2 linked regions of the Rhinolophus ferrumequinum genome follow. The protein of the gene in region 1 purifies or fractionates together with the protein of each later gene. This does not show direct contact. Links are inferred from orthologs where the notes say so. Each region holds a gene or a part of one and is shown in the gene's direction. Other genes may lie near its edges.

Region 1 (8,188 bases):
AACAAAGTCCCATTCATTATTTTGCCACGAAGGCTTGATTCTTACTGGCAGAGGCCTAGGCCACAGTTGAGCATTCTCTGAACTATGGCAGTAGAGTGGAGATCTCAGCGTACACACTCCTGCCCTGTGAGGTCAGGCAGCTCCCTAATAAGATACCTCTTGGAGGGACAGGTGCACACCTAGGTGCTTGAGCAACGACAACATCTGCGTTATCTCCAGATACTCAGGCTTGGGGGACAGACTGACATGCCAGCAAGTACAGAAGCCACAAGGCACACACCACTGAGAGAGGGGATGGGAAGGTGTACCCCACAAAGCAGGAACCACTTCCACATGGGGGAAACCAAATAAGGAATAAGTGAGTACGCCAAGCCATACATTGTAAGCCAGCAACCAGCATTCTCGAGAACTAATGAGCCCCACAGACAAAGGACTTACAGACACACATACTGAGCCTGTTCCCACTGACTCCTGGTCGCAACTTTATTGAGCTCTCACACCATCCATGTAACCCTAGCCCAGCTCTTTTTGGAAATAACAGAACCTAAAACACATCCTACAAGACATGGTAATAGATCTTTGTTCCCCTTAGCACTTACATACAGAATTTTTACTATGTTGATTTTCATTCACTCAATTTTATTTTTTCTTCCGTGTTTCCTATGTTTCCTAACTCCCCCATTAGTCTGGGGGATCCTTGAGAGTAGGGACATTTCTTCCTCTGCATTGCACACACACAAAAAATCAACACAGAATGAACATATTCAATAAACAATGCTAAGTGGTTCCCCTCATTAAAATGGGTCCACAGCTAATTCCTTCCTCCTCAGAATTCTTCTTGGATCTGAGCGCTACCAGGGCCTCACCTATGCTGATATCAGAGTTGTGTTCTGCCTCAAATTTGTTTTGTTCTGACCAGGTCTCTCTTCTTTCTAAAATCTTCAAATTATTTTCTTACTCCTTGCCCAACGGATACTGGATATTCATATAAAAGAGTTCTTCTCTATACTTCCATGTCTAGCTCTTGGTAGGATGGTAATGAACATGTATTAAATGAAATATTTTTGAATGAGAAGGTCTAGGTCCTAACCTCTAGCAGTTTATAAGTGCTTCGGCTTCATGATTCATTACCACGGCTCGCACCCAGGGGCTTAACCAAATCACTAGTCCCAAAACTGTTTTGAGATATTTCAAAGGTCAAGGATCAGGTCTTATTAGTTCCTGGCACGGCTCACTGGCAGCTGCAAGACCAGCAAGGCCTCTGCAAGCGCCGCCACCTACACACCACCCAGGCTGGGTTGGCATACCCGCTTATTGCTGTGGCCCCCAGAAATGGGAAAGGGCCTGCCTGAGGGAGGAAGGTCAGAGCCCAGAGGAGTCCCGAGGCAGCACAGCCTTACCGCATCAAACTCCGCTTGGTCATCCTCAGGGAGGTCGCTGGTTTCGTACACATCTGGCTCGTTCCTGGCCTGCAGGTAGAAGCAGTGACCACCCAGCTTCACTACGGAGCATCCACCAACACCCCTGACCCTATTCCATTCGAACAAGTTAACAGAGAGGGCAGGTTGTGATGCCAGGATTCTGTCCCTTCTCTTCCACCTGCCCGGTTAAATGCACATCAGTTCCCATGACTTAGAAGAATGGGGCTAAGAGTGGGACAACTGGGACCTGATGGTCAATGGTGAGTGTAAGTGATGACAAAGATGTTACCCTGAATCTGAAGGGGGGTGGGTCTTTGGCAATCATGATGGCAAAGGTAGAAGGACTATCCTTGAATCAGGTTCTATACACCACTACCCTGGCACAAGGGTTTAGAGTGACTCAGGACCTTAGTACCCATGATCCTGTGACCCAACCCCCACTCCAAGAATGCAGGCAGGACAGCAGAAAAGGGTACATGACGGCATGTGAGAGGTAGGTTGGGGTTGGGGTGGACACTCCCAGGACAGTTCTCCATCTGGCACAAGAAGGGTTCTGCCTTGGCAGGATAAAGGCCATCACTAAATAGCCTGGTATGTGTTTCTGGGGTGGGGATGGGAGGTTTGGGGAGACACGGGTGGTGCTGACACGGATGGCAAACACTCGACCACAAATGGTAAGGGCCCGGAGACAATTTCTGGGCCGAGAAACCGGCGACTGCCGGAAGAGGGGCCTGGTAGGCCGTCCCAAAGCCCGGCCCAGTCGGGTCAGAGGAGTCCGGAAGATGCTGCGGCCCGTCCGGGAGCGAGCCGCGGGAGCCCGGGGGCGGAGGAGGGGCTGCAGGCGGGAGGGGTCACGGGTTGGTGTCTGTTGGGGGTCCTTAGGAGGTTGGGGGCGCGGTCCTGGGGACCCGGGGCCGGCCCTGTACTCACAATGCCGGGAAGGTCGGCGTATTTAGGGTCCGCCATGGCGGCGGCGAGGCGGGGTTGGGGGACCGGGGACTCGGCGGAGCCGGGGCCGGTGTTCGGGTAGGGGAGAGGCTGGGTCCGGGTCCCGGGTTAAGGCGGCGGCAAAGGGAGCGGCGGAGGAGGCGGAGAAGCAGGAAGTCTCGCGACAGCAGTAGCACAGGAGAAGGGTAAAGCAAAAGTCGCGAGAACAGCCCGCTACCACACCCCTGGAGAGGCGAGGGTTGGCGAGAACGAGGCCAGGGAATGAGGTAATGGCGGGGCGGCGGGGGGAGGGACGCCGCATAGGATTGTTGGATATGTAGTCTTGGCCGACCCGGTATTGGGCGGGAGGCGACATCCCCATCTCAGGCCACTTAGTGATGGGAGTTATTGCATTCAACTTATTTTCTTTAATTTTCACATCGTCTGTGAAAAGAGCTTTTATAATTCCTGTTTTTCAAATGAATAAATTTGCACTTCCAGAAGTTAAATGACTAGATAAACATAACACAACTAGGCATGTTGGGGCACAGCCAAGACTTCAAAAACAACAATAACAGCAACAACAAGTAAACTTTAATAAAGCCTCAGTCACGTTTAGAATGAAAAAGTGAAGCAATTGTCTCAATTTAGAGCTGTCATATAAAATACAGGACGCTAGTTAAATATGAATTTCAGATAAGCAACTAATAATTTTTTTTAGTATAAGTATGTCTCACACCATATTTGGGACATAATAACACAAAATATATTAGTGTGTTTTTTTTAAATCTGAAATTCAAATTTAACTGGGCATCTTGTTTTTGTTTTTCAAACCTGGCAATCCTATGTTAAGTTCATAAATAGGTAAATGGTGGCTCTACATCTGAGTATCCTCTGTTCTCTTAGCCATTTCAGACTTTTGAATTTAATAGTTCAATAAAATTAAAACAACAACAAAAAGTTTGCGAGGACAGATACAGTATTGTTACCTTCATTTTGCCAAGTAAGCACATTAAAAAGAAAAAAAAGAAAACCTACTACTTACTATTGCCATCATTTCTAAGTAGAAAAGTAGGAAGGATATACTCTCAGAAAAAGACAGTCCTTCGAAACTTAGTAAATCCTGATTTATGAAAAACCACACTGTGGTGTTTTTTTTTTAATTTGGGGAGAGGGGCGGTGCTTATCCATAAACTTTTATCTCTGACCAGCGACTCTCCATGGACTAGCATTTTGAAACTTCTTCACTGGAGCCACCCTGGAGCCCTTGGGGGCCTGAGGTTGGGATGTTTCCCAGGATGTTCTCTGAGCTTGCAGGATGCTGCAACACTTAGAAATAGTGCCAGACCAAGTGACTAGAGAGATGCCTATTTTCCTGAGTTTGGAACTCACTGTCATTCTATGCATACTTTCCTGGCTCCTCCCCAGACCTCAACCCCTCCTTTTCCATAGTCCTACTGCTTTCCCATTCAGTTTCTTATGCTGGACCCTTTTCCTTCAGTGTCCTTAAGATTCAAGGTAGGTTAGAGGTATAGGTCCAATTTGGGAAACCTTCTCAGCTGAGTTCTGAGTGGTTAGGTCTTTTCTGGCCAGGCTGTCATTCTCTCCTCTTGCCTCATAGTGTCTAAGTGACCTTAGACAATAACTAGGCAGAACCTCCATCCCCTCCTCCCTTCTCCCATCATCCTGCTCCATCCCTTGGCCTAGAGCCTCGACTCCTGCAGTCTAACTCTGTTGGCCAGCAGAGGCCTGTAATGTGGAGAAAAATCAATTCAGCCAGTTTCTAGATGGTTCTGCCCAGGAGCTGCAGCACGAGTCTGACCTAAGGGGAGGAAGGACAAGGAATCTCTAGGCTTGTTTTTTGTTGTTGTTGTTGTTTTGTTTTGTTTTGTTTTGCAGGTAAGGGAGAGAAACAGAAAAGAGACCTGAAGAAAGGGGCTGGGGTGTAGGAACTCTGTCCAATAGTGACTGCAACAGGAAACACACTCACATAGGTGCCTACACCTGCCTAAAACCCAAATGCAGATGTCTGCCCTAGAAGGCCAATGTTATAGTCCCTCTGACCTTCCGCATTCCCATCCCTACCCCCTCTTCACTGCTTTCTGACTCCCTTTCTCTTGCAAAAGTTACTCCTGCCCACCTCCATCCCAAGCCTAACCTACGAGGCAAAAATGAGAGTCTTATCTCTTTTTGAATTCTGACAGCCCAGAATGGGAGTTCGTCTTCCTTCAAATCGGAGGCCTGGCATGTATGTTGGGGACAGAGTGGAGTGCACCTCTGAATGTAGAGGGGAGGGAAATAGCCAGACATACCCTGATACTCCTCAATGAAAAATGGGACTTGGACACCCACCTCCATAAGGGCACAGGCAGCTGCCCTTGAAGGTCGAGTGGATTGGAAATCAGTGCCAGGAGTGTGGGGAGAGGGAATGAGAAGTGTTCTCCCAATTTGGAAAGAGGATTGTGACGGGGGTGGAGGATGACCTGGGGTAAAGGAGGTGGAAGTGCTGATGATTCTGTCCCCTAGACAGGCAACAGGCCCACTGCAGACCCCTTATTCCTTCCAGAGGAGTGGAGTCTGAAGGAGGGACAGACAGGTAAGGCATGCAGTCAGTGACTTGGGTGGGGAAGGGGTGAGGGCAAGCTCATCTTCGAGAGTCAGGGGTGGGGAGAGAAGGCAAGAAGAGAGGAAAGGTGCCACCACTCTAAGGTGGACACCCAGCACCAGGCGCCTCGCGAGGGAAGCCCCGCCCCTCTTCTCGGTCGCCGCCCCGCCCAGGCCCGCAGCGCGGCGCTGCAGCGCGAGGGGCGGAGAGGCAGAGCTCCGCGAGAGGACCAGACGCCTTAAGTCGCCAGCATCCCGCTGCAGCAGGAGAGAGGAAGTGCTCCCCAGCCTTCATCCCGGCGCTCCCAGAGCTTTCTCGGCCCCAGAGACCGAGCACCTGCCCTCCGACTCGGCCTCTGCTGAGCTCCCGCCCCCGGAGCACGCACCATCCCTTCCGCCCAAGAAGTGCCCAGCCCCAAGCCTGCGACCACCATGGCAGAGACCAACAACGAATGTAGCATCAAGGTGCTCTGCCGATTTCGGCCCCTGAACCAGGCCGAGATTCTGCGGGGGGACAAGTTCATTCCCATTTTCCAAGGGGACGACAGCGTCGTTATTGGGGTGAGTGCCGCCGCGGGAGGGAATTTCGGGGAGGGGACGGGAGGTTGAATCCTACCCGTCGCTGGGCCTTAACCCCTGTTTGTCACTCTGCGCCTCCTCCTCGCCGCTCATCCTCCATCCTTTTCGCCGCAGCCCCTCCTCTCCCCAGCATCAGGATGGCTGGGTGTGGCCTGGCCAGGCCCGAGGCCCAGGTTCCGCAGAGTGGGAGGGGGCTACTTCCCCGCGATCAGGTCACCCAACTCCCCTTTGCTGCCCTCTGCAGCGTCCCCACCCCTTAGAGTCAGTCCCATGTTTTTCTGATGTTTTCCCTCTCCCCTAGAGGAAGCGCATCTTCCCTTTGTTATTGGCTCAGATCTCTACCCCCACCTCCCAGAAGGGGGGGGGGGAGACTAGTGGATGGACTAGATCGAAGGTGGGCAGTCCAGGGTCTCTGCGGAGGTGTAAGAGAATGGGCTCTGGGACCAAACCCTCCATCATCTCTTGAAGTAGTTAAAGCCTGGACTTGGGTGGGGAGAGCACAGATCTGATGAAGGGTTTTCTGAGAACGAAATACATTGATGACACACCCAGGTTTTTTTGGTGGGGAGCCACTGGGGTCCTAAGGAAATGTCTGCCTTTCTCTCCCAGGTACAGTAGGAAGAGGATTTCAGACCCACCCAACTCCCCCTAACAAATAAAAATAACCAGACCCCGAGATCCTAACAAGTACTTGCTTATTCATCCTTTCTCTTGATGATCCAATAAAAATTAGCAAGCCACCTCTACCTCATCATGACAGCCCCATGGAGGAGATCTTATGAAGAAGGAAAAGTAATGTTTACTGTGTGCTTGTGACTCTACATTTATTATTTAACCCTCAAAACAACACTCTGAAGTAAGCATTAATATTTCCATTTTACAGATGAGGAAATTGAGGTCCAAAGAAGTTGAATGACTTTATCAAGGTCACACTGTTAATTCACGGATATGAACCTAAATCTGTGACTGCAAAACTCATGTCTTTTCCTGTGTCACATTGCCTGGACCTTTATCTGTGATGGCCCAAAGGGAATTTCTCACCTATCCCTCCTTTGCTAGGTTGGTAGGGATTGTCAGGCTATGGGGTGAAAGGATTGGGGTTGAGTCCAGTAGGGCTTGAGGGGTTCTAGGCCAGGAAACAGTAGCCAGTTTGAGAAGGGAGGGGCACATATGAGGGCAGCCCTCAAGGTCAGGGGCACTTCTTATGTATCTTTGATCTACAGTGCTTGGCCCAAGACATGCTTGTTAAAGGAATGAAGGAAAGAAGAGGAGGGAGCCTGGGCATTCTGAATCAGTGAGAATGGGACTTTAAACACGCCTTAGTAAGAGACCTGCTTACATGTCCTGTCCTCAAGGGCCCCAGTCTGTCACCACGTTGAACTCTCTCACCCACACTGTGAACTCAAATGGGTACTTTTGCCATGTGTGTGCTTATGAATGTGTGTGTTCGCCACCTAAAGAGGGCCCCTATCTCTCTCTGCCTCAGGGACCTTAGGCCTTACACTGGTCAGTGGATCAACCCTAGGGGCCTCCTCTCTGAGTAGTCTGGATAGCAGGCATTAACTATGAGAATAGTTGGAGCTTGAGGTCCCTCTGAGATATAAAGGCTGAAAAACAGAAGGGAGGTGGGTGAGTAAATCCACAAAAGGCTTCTACTTTTAAGCCCAACTTCCTTGCTATAAGTTTTTCAGGTAAGTCTAAACCAACTCCAGACTCTCTGGGCCGTTCATCCTGGCCTGGCGAGCATGGGACATGGGATGATGTTGGGAGAAGGAGTTGTAGTGTTGATCTTTCCAATTTGCCCAGCTAAACAGGAGAGACACTGTGGAAGGTGGGGTAGGAGGAGAGCTGAGGGGAGGCCCAAGGCCCGCTGCCAGTTCAGATTCTGTCTTAGCTCCACAGCTGGTTCTTCCCTGCCTGTTTCGCCTGATATTTGTAGGGCTGTACCTTTGTCTCACTCTCTGTCTCCCCTTGCCCTAGCCCTTCCTGTCAATCTCTTACTCCAAGATAAAGGCGCATGGCGGGGTGGAGGGGGGCATTTTGTCTCAGGCAGCATCCTTAGAGCTTATCTTCCCCACCTTACTATTCATTCCTCATTCAGGAGGATGAGGGCTATAGGAGAAGTGATTTTTGAGGAGACCCTTGAGGTTCCCAACAAGGGAAGGAAATTGCCTACCCGCTTTTCTCTTTCATGCTCTAGCTCCCTTTGGGGCCCAGTGTGTGGGAAACTGTCTGAGGAATTAATGGAGGAAGCTGCTTCAGGATGTCTGGGAAGGTGAGGGAAGAGGGAAGGTGGGAGAGGGTGATCTCTCCACATCCAGCCCCTGCTCCTTTCTCTAATGGCTCTCTTCTCTGCTTCTGCAGCACTGCGGCTGGCTCTGGGCTTCAGAGTTCCTAATGTTTATGGGTTTTTTCTGCTTGGCAAAGGATGGGAGAATAAGCTAGAGAGACAGCTCTGTGAACCTTATCCCTCGCCCACTCCCCTGACTTCTCCCAGGAATCTGGGGGATGGGGCTTAGCCAAAGTTAATGGCCTGAGTCATAGTAGAAGAGTGTCCAGGTCAGTCTGTGTGTGCTCTGTACCTTGTTTTGCTCTTTGTGTCACTCAGAATCCACTGTGACTTATTCACTGGACCCATTTAAATGTCTCTCGTTTTT
Region 2 (8,248 bases), on another chromosome or scaffold:
ATGCAAGAGCCATAATTGTTGGCGATAAGTTCAGGTCGTCTACCTTTCACACAGCCCTTTCACACTTCCAAATAGTAAACTTGGTTAACTGTTCGTCCAGTTGGTACAAATTGAAAAAAAAAAAAAAAAAAGAATCCCTCTGATATCAAAAAAAGGTTAGGAACATTGTTGCAGCAGGTTCAGGAACTTAATTGTCAGACAGTCATACACTTGGGTTAATGTGGCTGAAAAGGGATGGGGATGGTGAGTGACAGGGCGGAGGAGAAAGGAAGAGGCCAGGGCACTGAAGAGCGTTGTAGCTGTGTCTGTGCCAGAGCAAGGACTGTGCACTTGACCCTGAGATCAGTGGAGAGCCAAGAAAGGGTTTTATGCAGAAAGGTGAGATGATGGACGTTAGAAAGATCACATGGGAGGAAACGAGACTGGAGACTCGAGGAGTTAGGAGGGTGTTGCAGCAATTTAGAAAAGATGTGGCCCAGACATTGATTAAGGCACGGGTATAAGAGGTGGGGGAAATGGGGACTTGAATCCTACTTCGGAGGTAGAATCATTAGGTTTCAGTGGCTGGTTAGGAAAGAGGGTCGAAAGAGAGAGAATTGAGGATTACGACTGGCAGCCTGCCATAGATGAACGGGCAGATGGTGGAACATCTCAGAGGAGACTTGGGTGGCTTTTGGGCAAGGGGGATATGTGCTCTTCAGAGGTAGGCGTCCAACTGGAGTTAAATATATCTGGATGGATCTGGATGGAGCTCAGGGGAGTGATCTGGGCTGGTGGAGGGTTGGGCTTCTTTAGCATGTGGGAGAACTGACCTTAGAGAAAGGGTCAGATAAGCCCCGGCCGGACTAATCTCCCTCTGTCCTTGACCACGTAGGGCAGGGGTGTCCAAACTGTGGCCCGCAGGCCAACTGCGGCCCGCAATCCATTGTTAATTGGCCCGCAGCAAATTCCAAAAATATATTTAGTTTATTTAAATAAACCAGGTGAGGCAATACATACTTCACCTCGAGTGAGTGGCCCGGCTGTTTGTGTATTTTATCGCATATGGCCCTTGGTAAAAAACATTGAAAAAAGTCTGGACACCCCTGACATAGGGCATCTACTGCCAGCATCAAACATCTTAGACTCACTCTTCTTCTTTGCACTGCCTCATTTGTTGTTCGCTTTCATTCTGAATGTGTTTTCTCTCCAACACCACCATAAGCAGACATTGCCCTATGTGTCATATTTTTTCTCCTCACTCTCCATTCACTTGCACAAGATCTGTCCAACAGTGAGCTTGATGGTAATAATAAATAACTACTAGTAATAGTCTCTGTTATGTACAAAGTGTAATGTTAAGATCTGAACTCTGCTGTTTATTCTGTTCTCTTGAGGACCCAACAAGGTAAATATTAAGAAACTCATCCTACATATAAGGAAACAGGTGGATAGCACGCCTATGTCTGCACAGCTGGCAGATGGAGAAACGCAGCTTTGAACTTACCTTCGTGTAACCCCAAAGCTTATGTGCCCTCCCGCTAGCAGGGTGGGGTGGGGATGGGGGACACTTCTAGTCTGGCTGGGAGGCCACAAGGAAGAGACAGTGCAGATTTGCCACGTGACTGCCAAGACAGGAACCAGGAGCCTCTGGAGGAGCTCTGAAGAGACTCGATTCTTGGTTCAGTAGCAGAAAGAACTGACAACCAGAGGTGTTCACAGTGGGACAGGCCCCTCAGGAAGTGGGGAGCTGTGCATCACATGGGGAGACATCTTTAAGGAGCCTCCAATCTTGGGCGTTTATGAGTGAACTCGCTGACTGCTTAGTGAAAGTGCTCCCAGGCCATTTCAAAGAAAAGGAGTGAAGCTGCCAAGGGGGGAAAAGAATCATTTAAGAAAGCAGACTTCAGGGGGATGTGTGCTTCCAAGGATCCAAGGGGAAGGGTCGGAGCAGTGGGAGTGATTTTCAGGGAGAAAACAATGTTAAAAGTAGCAACGATTTCCCAGGCTGGGGACCAGCAGGGGCAAGCCTGTGAAGCCCTGTGGAAAATGGGATGAGGAGCCGAATCACCACTGAGCATGGGCTCCTTCCTTGACCCTCTGTTAACTGGGCATCCATCAGCCGCCTGGCTGCCCAGCAGCTGCCCAGGCGGGGCAGGGGTGGGGGTACAGAACAGAGCGGATGAAGTAACAGTCCTTCCTGCGGGAGACACACAGTACAATCTTCAGAGACAAGATAAAAAGCTGGGTAGTTGAAAAGGTTTGAACATATGCAAGGTCGAGCACTGAAATCAAGATAAGAGCCTGAGAACGGCCTTCCCTACACCAGGCACAGGGGGAGGAGCTGGGCCAGCTGCCTAAAGAGAATCTCAGAGAAACTACAACACCTACAGGGATGTTGGCAGAAAAGCTAGAGCAAAAACCCAGCAAACCGGAGACTGAAAAATGTTCTTTCCATTTACCTGGTAAAAGATGATAAAAGGAATGTACTCCTTTATCAGACAGAGGGGACGCGCAGAGAAGAAAGCAGGGGTTGTGGTCGTGTGTTTGTGTGTGGCCATGTGTGGTTTGCACTTACTTGAGCCTAAAAACACACACGCGGAGGTGTGCATGTGGCACACAGGGGTTCATTCAGTGCCTCTGGGTGAATCTGCCTGAGGCTCTGAGCAACTGTACTTTCAGGCAGGTGTGAACAAGCACTTGACTTTGGTTCTCTTGACCGCTACTCCATGAGGTCAGTGTCCCTTATCCACTGGAACAAAATGACCAGTGGTCACTAGGAGCCTGAGCTTGCCAGGAACCTCATGCAGCTGCCTTCCCCTCCCTGGGCCTGTGTCCTTACTTGTAAAATAAAGCAAGGGCTTTCAACTGAGGATGAACATCCTGGGCACCACTGAAGTTTTAAAATAAGACATGCCCAGGACCCACCCTGGCACCACCGAATCCCAATCTCTAGAAAGAGAGCCTTCTAACAGTGTCTTTGTGAGAGATTCTGAAACCCAGCCTAGTTAAGAGTGACAAAGATGCCCTGGGTTCCAGCTTCTGTTTCCTCCCTGTAGATGTGCAGGCAAGTTGGGAGTGCGATCATGAACTGATGGAGACTCCATGCCCAGAGGCGGGCTCATCACACAGCAGCCAGAGCACCTCTGGGAGATAGAGCTGGAGGACGACAGACCCACCCCCCCCAAAAAAAAAAAAAAAAAGAAAACACGAAAGATTCCAATCTTCAGGACCCCAGAGGAAAACCGACCAGAAGAAACTGAGAAGGGTGACCACAAGCTCTGCACTGATGCAAACCACCTAATGAAAGGGCACAAAAACTGGTACTAGCAGGTGCCTCTGGGCAGGGGAGCTGCATGGCTGAGGATAGTGGCCAGAAAGGAGGACCTCTATTTCACTATAACTTGTAGATGCCTTTCGAATTTTGCATCCCATGGCTGTCTTAGTTACCTTTCCATCACTGGGGGGAAATCATTGGCAGAAGCACAGGATCGGGGAGAAGAACCTGGCTGGATACAATGGGGATGCACGCAATCTAGGGTTTCAGCTGACAAGCTTACCCTGCGCAGACACAGTGTGGTGGCCGCCAGGCTGATTTTCAAGTTCATGGTAGACAGGTAGCATAGTCATCGAGAGGGGCCCATCCCTCTGTGATCTGTGCAGACCGCTCCCGGCTGGTTTCTTGGGCCCTCGACTGTGCACCACATTCTAAGCAGTGTCCGGACTGACACGCTAAACTACACCCAGAAAGAAGAAATCAGGATGGAGAAGGGGCAGGAAACTGGGCCAGGAGTGGGTGAAGGGACAGGCAAGGAGACCATTATGGCCTCTAAATATCTTTATTGGCAAAAGGGAGCAGACTGTTCTTCCTGGAGACAGAGCTTCAGAGCACTGCAGGAAGGTCCTTTGGGGGCCATCTAAGGAACAACGTTCTAATCTTTACTCTCTCAGTAAAAGGTAGTGAGCTCCCTGTCACAGGGCGAACTCGAGCTAGGGGCACAGGGCCGTCTCTGTGTCAGAGATGATACCAAGGAGCGTGTGCAGGTTTTGTCCTTCGGGGTGGTTATCCTGCTGTCACCCACTAGTGACATCGACCTAGATGCCCTGCAGTAGGGGCAGTGCCAGGGTAGCCACCAATCCAGGGGTGCAGAGCACCAGACCAAAACCTAGGCCTGGCAGGGGCCTGGCAAAGCCAGTAGGTGCACCCTTCTGCCCTTTTTTTAAAACCAACGTTTACTGAATGCTGCTGTGTGGCTGGCCAGGGGCTACTCTGGGAGTGGACAAGATGGGCAGGGCTCGGCCTGCATTCTAGGGAAGAGACAGAAAACCGACAGGAAAAGTGTTAGAAGGGATAAATGCTAAGAGAGAATTGAATGGGTGCATGAGATGGACTGGAGGGCAGCTGTACATGGGTGGGAATCAAGGAAGGGCTCTCTGTGGAGGTGACATTTCATCTGAGCCCCGAATGACATCATCACCTTGTCTCGATCATCCCACCAAAGGCATTTGTTGTGGTGTTCAAGCACAGGTGCACGAGTCTTTGTTTTGGCAGATACCCGGCTGCCCTGTGCCACCCTTTTCTCCCTTACAGTCAGAAGCCTCCGTCCCTTCTCCCCAAGAAATAGCCCTAAGATGTTGTGAATCCCCTACAGGGTCATGAACAGCTCCGAACGAGTTGGGTGGAGGCGCAACCAGTCTCTAGAGACAAATGAGCCTGAGGGCAGCCAGATCTGCGAGCTGTGATAACAGCGGTGACCATTTCATGAAGTCTTTGCGAGCATTCACTGAGTTAACCCACTTAAGGCGCCTGACACCATTGCTTAGAAAGTGGCAACTCCCTCAATAAACGTCCAGGGTCTCGCAGTGGACTCCGGGCCGGCTCTCTGTGCCTCAGTTTCTCACGCCTTCCTCTCTCGACGCGGTACTGGGTGCGTTCAGGTTCACAGTCTCCTGAGCCTCTCCACACCTCTGCGGCCTCGGGGCGCTTTACCACTGAGGAACCCGAGAACGCAGGAGCGTGGACCAGGCAGCAGGGCAGGGGCGCCTGCCGCCAGCCCACGCTCGCCCCTGGTGGTCACGCCCCTCTCTCTCGGGTGGCCACGCCCCGACCCTCCCCAACTCCTTGCCGGGAGCAGTCCCGGCTGGCGCGCTCCTTTAAGGCAGCCAGCAGGCGGAGAAGAGGGAGTTTCGCCCCCTCCGACGCCGCTGAGGTAGCAGCTTCACCTTTAAGGCGGCGCGGGGACTGTTGGGAAGGCCGGAGGGATGGAGGCGGCGGGACCTGCTCACGGCTGCCGGTCCGAGTGAAACGGGACGGGAGCCGGAGCCAGAGGGAGCTGGAGCCGGGCCCAAGAAAGAGGCACAGGTCTGCGCGGGCCGACTGGGCCAGGAGAGGGCCTCTGGCTGGGCCTAGGGGACGGGTGGTCGCGGGCGCGGCCTGTGGGCGGCCAGGCCCACCCACGGGGAGGGGGCGCGGCCCTGAGTGGCCGGGGCGGGCGTTCGGCCTTTTCAGGGGAGGGTCCACAGGGCGTTGCGCCCGCCTATGGGGAGGGTCGTCGTGGGCGGGGCCTGGGGTGACGGAGAAGCCGAGATCTCAGATCTTCTAGGGGAAGCGTCTCTCCAGGATTGGCCTGCCCACAAGGAGGGGCCCTGTGGCTCGGCCTGCCTGTTAGGGTGGGGGCTGCCCTAGGGGCTGGGGCTGGACCTCCCGGAGGGGTCGGGATCTCCCGAATGACTGTGAGCCCCTAAGCCCCCCGTAGAACCGTCCTCCGGTGCGCCCTGCCCTAGCTGAGAGTCCCCGGGAAAGCCCCGAGACTGGGCCGCCTAAGCTGGTCTGAGCAGGTGGTCTGGGCCGAATCCCGGTCCGGCCTCACCGCATTGCGTCTCCTGGGCCGAGACAAGCTGGGCGCGCCCCCTGTAGGTCGAGCGCGGACACGGTGCGGGCTGCCGGCTGGGGGACAGGGCACCCCGGGGATCCAGGCGTCCGGGGACCGGAGGTGTTTACCTAATCCGGGCGGACGGCGGTGTGGTCCCAGGCTCGGCACCCGCCTGCCCGCCCCCTCGCCTTTATAGGCGGCATGGCCATGGCCACGATGGTGCTTCCTCGAGAGGAGAAGCTGAGCCAGGATGAGATCGTGCTGGGCACCAAGGCAGTCATCCAAGGGCTGGAGACCCTGCGCGGAGAGCATCGTGCCCTTCTCGCTCCTTTGGTCGCTCATGAAGCCGGCGAGGCCGAGCCTGGCTCACAGGAACGCTGTGTGCTCCTGCGCCGCTCCCTGGAGGCCATCGAGCTGGGGCTTGGGGAGGCCCAGGTAGGCTGGTCTGGGGTGCTGAGGTGGGAGGTCACAGGAGGGAAGGATGGAGACTTCCAGTGGAACAGAATCAGAGCAGGGAACCGTCTGCCTCCTGGAGCCCCATGGTAGGACCCTAGTAAATATCTGTTGAAGAAATGAATAGGCTTTGGAGACCCCAGCCAGGCCTTGCCCCAGGAAAAGCCTGACCATCCTTTAGCCCCCATTCAGGACATCCTCCTCGCTTCTCTGCCAGGTAGCAGAGACTGGACTAGGAGAACAAAAAGGAAATCCTTAAGGACCCCTTCCCCAGACTCATTCTTGTATTCATTCATTAATAGGTAAGTTATCAAACGCCTACTATGTGCCAGGCAATATGTTAGGTGCCAAGGATACAGGTCCTACAAAACAGATAAGATCCCTGCCCTAGTGTAGTAGGAAGACAGTCAGAAACACACATACATCTGTTGCACATTGTGATAAGTTCTCCAAAGCAAAGGAAGATCTTTTAATAGCTTTTAATGGGATTTCTTATCTATTGGTCAGTTAAGAATTCTGAGGAAATGACATTTAAACCAAGACCCGCAGGAAGGAATGTACCACCTCCAGAAAAGGGAGGAGGGTGAGAGGTTGCATGTGCAAAGGTCCTGAGGTAGGAAAGATCTTGTTGTGACGAGACAATCGAGGGAAGACCTATGTGACTGGAGCTTCATGGGGAAGGAGAGAGGGACAGAAGAGGCCTGTGGAGAAGGCAGAGGCCAGATCATTCTGCGCCTTGTTCATTTGGGTTTTAGTCTCAGGAAATTGGGAAACCTTTCAAGAGCATTAAGCAGTCAAGGGACACAGTGTGACTTAGGTTTTAAAAGTTCTCTCAGGTTGAGGTATAGAGAAGGAATTATAGCGGGTCAAGGATGGAAGCAGGTATGAGGTAGCTAGGAATCCACTGCTGGAATTCAAATGAAAAAATGACAGCTTGGACTAAAGGGGTGGCTGTAAGGGTAGAAAGAAGGGGACCTGTTCTAGATGTCCTGGAGGGAGGTTCCGGGGGACCTGGGGACAGAGTAAGGGAGAGACAGGAAGGCAGGGTAACTCCCAGGATTGTGGTTGGTGCAAGTTAAGGGGATGAGAAGCTGGATGATCAGTACTTGGCCCTCTTATGTTGGCGCTGCCAGGACAGTGTGCATGTGGAGGTTAGGCTCTGGGGGGAAGAGTCCTGGCCTCCTCGGATCTTGGCTGAGACACTGGCTGGCTCCGTGAATCCTGGGCAGGTGGTAGCATCTTGATTTCCTTGTCTTTAAAATAGGGATCATGCCATCTGCTGTCTCTACTTCCAGGCTGTTGCGGTAATTTTTTTAAAAAGCTAGTGTTTGTAAAAACACCTGTCACTTAGGCGTTTATTAATCAACTGGAAAGCACAGGGTCCAGACTGCCTGGCCCTCTGGATGGGCAATGTGTTTTGGTCATTCACTCCTCAGCCAGTTAGCTGCCAGGTGCAGAGATGAACACTCAGGGGTCCCCCTCCCAGTGTGTGCAGGCACTGGCACAGATGGGCAACAGGATGGCGTGGAGAGAGTGGAAGGTGCCCTGCTTTTCTGGGGCTGTGGTCATAAGAGACAAGAGGCTTCACTGCAAAAATGACCCTGAATGTGAAGGATGGAGAAAGGGTAGAGCCTGGAAGAGTCTGGGAGCTCAGGAAAGGAGTCATAGAGGTTGGGAGAGGGGTGGGGGCTGTGGCTAGGCCTCTGGGTCGTCTTACCTGCCCTTGTGGTTCCCCATACCATTCGGGGGTTTGGGATATGCACCCCTTCCCCCCAGAAAGGCAGGGGCTGATCTGGATGCTTGGCGGAAGTCAGGATGGGGTCTTTCTATGGTCCTTCAGCCATCTATCAGGAAAGTGCTAGCCCTGGGGCAGGGGGCAGCGTTATAGTGGCTGTGGCTTCAGGGGCTTGAGTACAACCCCCAGGAGAGGAGAAGAGAATGGC

Evidence for each region.
Region 2: the proteins of KIF5A (region 1) and KLC2 purify together in Homo sapiens (affinity purification with western blotting; 3 studies listed by BioGRID and IntAct, with this or other methods). This does not show direct contact. The link is inferred for Rhinolophus ferrumequinum from reciprocal best matches to the Homo sapiens genes KIF5A and KLC2.

The regions. Positions count from the first base shown.
Region 1 is NC_046293.1:56,514,092-56,522,279, forward strand, and holds the start of KIF5A (kinesin heavy chain), read left to right. Parts: upstream 1-5,045; 5' UTR 5,046-5,384; coding exon 5,385-5,513; intron 5,514-8,188. Other genes in the region: DCTN2 (dynactin subunit 2), read right to left, coding at 1,401-1,469, 2,352-2,387. UniProt on the Homo sapiens protein: Microtubule-dependent motor required for slow axonal transport of neurofilament proteins (NFH, NFM and NFL). Can induce formation of neurite-like membrane protrusions in non-neuronal cells in a ZFYVE27-dependent manner.
Region 2 is NC_046294.1:5,659,822-5,668,069, reverse strand, and holds the start of KLC2 (kinesin light chain 2), read left to right. Parts: upstream 1-4,966; 5' UTR 4,967-5,341; intron 5,342-6,011; exon of another isoform or gene 6,012-6,048; 5' UTR 6,049-6,053; coding exon 6,054-6,287; intron 6,288-8,248. UniProt on the Homo sapiens protein: Kinesin is a microtubule-associated force-producing protein that plays a role in organelle transport. The light chain functions in coupling of cargo to the heavy chain or in the modulation of its ATPase activity.